Sus scrofa: one gene and its partner. The protein of the gene in region 1 purifies or fractionates together with the protein of each later gene. This does not show direct contact. Links are inferred from orthologs where the notes say so. Each region holds a gene or a part of one and is shown in the gene's direction. Other genes may lie near its edges.

Evidence for each region. Proteins that work in one complex are often made in the same cells at the same time.
Region 2: the proteins of SF3B6 (region 1) and SF3B5 fractionate together in Homo sapiens (co-fractionation; 5 studies listed by BioGRID and IntAct, with this or other methods). This does not show direct contact. The link is inferred for Sus scrofa from reciprocal best matches to the Homo sapiens genes SF3B6 and SF3B5.

What each region holds. Positions count from the first base shown.
Region 1 is NC_010445.4:114,615,770-114,618,687, forward strand, and holds the end of SF3B6 (splicing factor 3B subunit 6), read left to right. Parts: intron 1-1,776; coding exon 1,777-1,915; intron 1,916-2,087; coding exon 2,088-2,177; 3' UTR 2,178-2,354; downstream 2,355-2,918.
Region 2 is NC_010443.5:21,229,877-21,232,544, forward strand, and holds SF3B5 (splicing factor 3B subunit 5), read left to right. Parts: upstream 1-1,387; 5' UTR 1,388-1,531; coding exon 1,532-1,792; 3' UTR 1,793-1,812; intron 1,813-1,921; 3' UTR 1,922-2,138; downstream 2,139-2,668. UniProt on the Homo sapiens protein: Component of the 17S U2 SnRNP complex of the spliceosome, a large ribonucleoprotein complex that removes introns from transcribed pre-mRNAs.

The sequences.
Region 1 (2,918 bases):
TTTTTAATGGTTTTATTCTGAAGGAAAAATTAGGTAGACTTTTTGGGAAAATCTTCGGGACAGTGTTTTTCCTTTGGGTAGTCCCCAGTTCTCATACCTAAAACATTCTTGAAAATGGTCAAAAGTCCTAAAGTTGTTAGATTATTTGCAGAGTAAGGAATTTTATAAAATTCTCCATCAGGCCTATGCTGCCTGACAGAATGAGAGTGTTCAGTGTCACTGGCACCCTCTAACCACCCAGTACCCTGTACCTATCCCATCCCCTTTTACAGGAAGCACAGGTTCTGGCTGGGGCCCAAGACTGTAGTCTCATTCTTCACCAGATCTTCCCCTTCCCATGGGCCCACTGCCTTTCCTTGACCCTGGGCAGGGACTATGGCAGTTGGTAAACCTGAGTCCTCAGTTGCAGTGGGTGGCTAGAACACAAAAAGGCAAGGGGATCCATGTTTAGCTTACTGGAACATAAGCCGATTGGGACCTCTGCCCGCTGTCCCCACTCACAAGCACATGGCCATCTGCCACCTGCAGTTTGCTGCTCCTCACACTTCCCTACCCCCTCCCCTAATGGGAGTTTGTGATGTGAGGAGAGGAGGTGGCAAGGAACAGTTGAACAAGAAGCAGTCTCATATCCATGGGCGAGATCCAGCCTCACTTTACCCTTCTGGCCACATTGTAGCATTCTGCTCTGGCTCACAGGTAACTACCTACAAGTACACTTCAACCCCAGTCTCTCTAGAAACCCAGCTCTTTTCCCAGGCTGCGTAGGGCTGTGTAATGCATGAAGGTACAGGTGTTATTAAAAATGAATGTGTGGGGAGTTCCCGTTGTGGCTTATCAGGTTATGTACCTGACTAGCATCCATGAGCATGTGGATTTGATCCTTGGCCTCGCTCAGTAGATTAAAGATCCGGTGTTGCCATGAGGTGTGGTGTAGGTCACAGATGAAGCTCAGATCCTGCGTGGCTGTGGTGTAGGTTGGCAGCTGCAGCTCCAATCTGACCCCTAGCCTGGGAACTCCACAGGTATGGCCCAAAAAGAAAAAAAAAAAAGAATGTATGAAAGTTGGGAGTTTTGTGTTTTAAAAAAGCAGTGAATCTGCTAAGAAAAGTGGAAGAAACTATGCTAACTCCTTATATTGGGGTACAGCCTTTCTGGCCATAAAAGATGGTGGTTGGCTGTTTTCTTGTGTATCATTTATAATTTTGCTGTCTTGGTAGGGGCTTCTCTCCCACACTACCTTCCTGATAGATACAAAATCAGTTTTATTTTTATGGATTTGAAAAACCTTAGTAGAATATTACCCAGAAACAGTTGTTACCTACATTAATATTGTTTGGTCTTTAAGGATTGGAACTAAAAAAAAATTTTTTTAGGGCCACACCTGTGGCACATGGAAGTTCTCAGGCTAGTAGTCGAATTGGAGCTGTAGCCGCCGGCCTGCACCACAGCCACAGCAACGTGGGATCTGAGCCATGTCTGCGACCTACCCCACAGCTTATGGCAATGCTAGATCCTTGACCCTGAGTGAGGTGAGGCCAGGGATCAAACCCGCATCCTCATGGATTCTAGTCCCGTTCGTTAACCACTGAGCCATGATGGAAGCTCCTCACGTTAGTGTTCTTGATAGAAGTTTAACCTGAACTATTTTACTTAAAACAAAAATTACCTAATTTGAGAAATTACAGGCTTATCCAACATACCTGTCTATAATGTCTATTTCCTCTGATGGTTTTCAGGTAAATGTGTATCTTAATTAAATCTGTTTCAACTCTGTAGGGGGAACACACCTGAAACTAGAGGAACAGCTTATGTGGTCTATGAAGACATATTTGATGCCAAGAATGCATGTGATCACCTGTCAGGATTCAATGTTTGTAACAGATACCTCGTGGTCTTGTACTATAATGCCAACAGGGTAAGTATATCCATGGTTCTCATCATGTGGGGAGAGCCCATGAGAGAGGTAGTGGAAAATTGTACCATTAGGGGAGATGTGTACTTGAGTTCTTTTCTAGCTGGCACTATTGGTGAAATTCATTTGACTGTAGATTGATAACTGTTAACTTTGGTGCTTACCACATTTTCAGGCATTTCAGAAGATGGACACAAAGAAGAAGGAAGAACAGTTGAAGCTTCTCAAGGAAAAATATGGCATTAACACAGATCCACCAAAGTAAACATCTTCTGCATTTTCATTTTGGACTAAAACACATTAATGGCCATCAGCACCCTTTTTTGTTTTTAGTTAATATTGAAAATTGTGATTTCATACTTGAGACTCAAAAAGCCTGCTTACAATTTTGATGTATATCAGAATATATTACATTAATAAACCTGTAGCTTTTTATAAAACATGTCAGTATGTTCTCTTGAAATTTCCCCTATTGTATTATACCAGGAAAACGAAACAAAACAAAACAGCAGTTAAACCATATCAAGAATTGTTTGGGAGTTCCCTGGTGGCTCAGCTGGTTTAGGGATCCAGCATTGTCACTGCCATGGCACGGGTACGATCCCTGGCCCTGAGACTTCTACATGCCAAAAGAGTTGTTTGGTGGTAGGTGGACCTAGAGACAGAGCTTATTGAGGACAGGGACCTCTTGATACTCTATGCCTCCAGTATCCAGTCTAGTGCTTAGCCATCAAAGGAACTTGTTAGAGGATTATTATTTATTGAATGTCTATTAATAATGAAATTCCTTAACACCTCTGTGATGGTAGGTATCTCAGTTTTGCAGAAAAGGAAACCAAAGCTTGTCATATTGAATAAAAATGAATGCATTAAAAGTTGCTCTTGGGGGGACCACACCTGGGGCATGCATAAATTCTTGGGCCAGGGATCAAATCCATGCCACAGCAGCATCCCAAGCCACTGGGTGACAACACTGAGTCTTCAACCCATTGAACTACCAGGGAAG
Region 2 (2,668 bases), on another chromosome or scaffold:
ATTTTTTAATAAAAATTATATATATTTAAGAGGTGCAACATGATTTGATATACATATACACAATAAAATGGTACCACAAACTAATTAACATATTCACCTCCTCACAATTTTTAGTATTGATACAGTATTAACTATAGTTAACTATAGAGCTCTAAACTTACTAGTCCTATCTAACCGTAACTTTATACCAGAATAAAGATACTTTAAAGTTATCTTTCTCCCAGTAAAGAATTTATTTGGCCGTCATACAGGTTTTTTTAATCCATTCATCAGATGTTTTTTGAGAAACAATCTCTGCGAGGCTCTGTGGCTAGCATAACAGAAGCATATGATACAAGACATCATCTCTTTTTCATTAATATTTTTAAAAATATTACTATTTGAATTTATTGAACTTCGCATTTTGGGGTTTTCTTTGTGGATTTCATGCTACAAATAGATCAAGTAGATAGATGTCTCACCCTCAAAAAAAAAAAAAGACATCATCAAAAAAGTAGTTTTTCTCAAGTAGTTTGTATTCGTGTGGGGAAGTTCTTAAACCAAAAACTGGATATAAAGTGATAATAACAAAGAGATGTACAGGATGAAAAGAATTTACATCTGTCTGGAGTAGCCAAAGTCAATTTCAGGGAGATACTTTCGAGCTGACTTAAAAGGGAGAAGTGTTTGCCAGGGGAACAAAAGCATTCCACGCAGATGGAACAGCTCGTACAGAGAACTGGAGAGAGCAGCACGGGAACGTTTGAGAAGTAGAGGCTGAGGGCCTGTAGGTGGGGTGAAACTTGTTGGGAGGATGTCAAAATTAGAAGCTCAAAAGGAGGAGCCTGTTGTGGGGGCCTGAATGTGTCGGAACTGGTGCTGTACTTAGGTCACTAGGCGGGAAACGGCGGCCCCGCAAGCGATGAAAGAAGTTTCCACACAACTTGTAAGAGACATGGCTGGGGTCAGACCTTGAGTTTCCTGACTTCAGGGTGATCCACCCCTGGTTGTGAAACGGCTACTGTACCCTCTGTAGCTCCGAAAGCGGAATTGCACAAAGAGCTCCTTTCCCCAGTTGCTTACAGCCTTGTACTACTTGTTTCCCACTTCCTCTCGGCCCCCCATCCGCCCGAGGATGCTTCCTGCCTCCCAAACACCGCAGTCCATTCAGTCTCTCAAACCCACACACAGAGGTCCCAAGAAGTCTCTGCGAACCAACCCTCGGAAACCACAAGTCCCAGCATGCAAAGCTCCTGTTAGAAAAGGGCCGCTAGATGGACCAGCATGCAACGCTCTGCGAAGGAGGCGGGGCTCTCTATAGGGAAGGCCCACTGGTAGCGTTGCCGAGGCAACTCCAATTCCGTGACAGAATACACTTCCGCCTGGGAGGCCGGGGACCGCGAGTCGCGCTGCTTTGTCGCTGTGACGCCATCCACCTGCGGCCGCGCGTGTACAGAGGTTCCGGCGGGTGGCTCCTCTCCGGCTTGAAACCTTAGAGCGGCTTCTTCTCGTCTGCGGCTTCTGACCTGCGAGCAAAGGAAAAAGCAACGAGATGACAGACCGCTACACCATCCACAGCCAGTTAGAGCATCTGCAGTCCAAATACATCGGCACCGGCCACGCCGACACCACCAAATGGGAGTGGCTGGTGAACCAGCACCGCGACTCCTATTGCTCCTACATGGGCCACTTCGACCTTCTCAACTACTTCGCCATTGCCGAGAATGAGAGCAAAGCGCGAGTCCGCTTCAACTTGATGGAGAAGATGCTGCAGCCTTGCGGCCCGCCCGCCGACAAACCGGAGGAGAACTGAGACCTCACCGTCTCACCGCTGTACGTGAGCACCTCTCTGCGTTCCTCCGGTTTGTCGTCATTCCCGCGGGTTCCTCTCCCAAGTGGACGGATTCTTCATAGCTCTGCTTTTCGTGCTTTCTTTGTACAGAGGTCCTTACCCGGGGCGTTCCGTCCGACCTGCCTTCCTGTGGAACAAAGTGTTGGGAGACCCGTCATAACCCCTGAGAAACTGAACAGTGGAGAGATCCTAAAGTCTGCAGACGTTAGAGGAGATATGGCTGGAGTGAGATGGGATTAAGAGGCTCGTTTTTGGCTAGTTGACTGTCTTCGTTGCTTTTTCTATAAAGTTTAGAAATGTTTCGGTCTCTTGGTGTGGACTACTTGTGTTCTGGTGGAGGGGCCAAGGAGGGCTCTGGGACTGTGGTTTGCCGGGTGGCGGGGGGTATAAAGAAGGGAAGGGTTGGGGAGGGGTTCAACAGTAGCACAGGGCCAAAGTTCGTTGCCAGACACTTAAATACGCTCTTTATAATATTCTCCAACCCTGACTTCTCCCAGGAACTTTTCTCAGGCCCTTAACACATTCACTATTGAGGTTTGTGATCACTGTGTCCTTTTTCTTTCATACAAAAAAAAAAAATCTTGACTCGCTTTGCCTTCTCTCTGTAGATTACACCTCTTTCTTTTGGAAATACGTGGACATATCTTGAGTATTGACAAACTGTCAAATTAGTTCTTAAATTCATTCAGCAAATACGTGTTGAATTTTATGTGGCAGGCTTTAAGGACCTATATTACACTGGTTGGGGGAGCAGAAGACCACAAAATTTGCAGACATAAGCAAGCACATGTTGGAGGGTGCTGTGGAGAATGAGAGTAGCAGTAGGGTTGCAGTTTT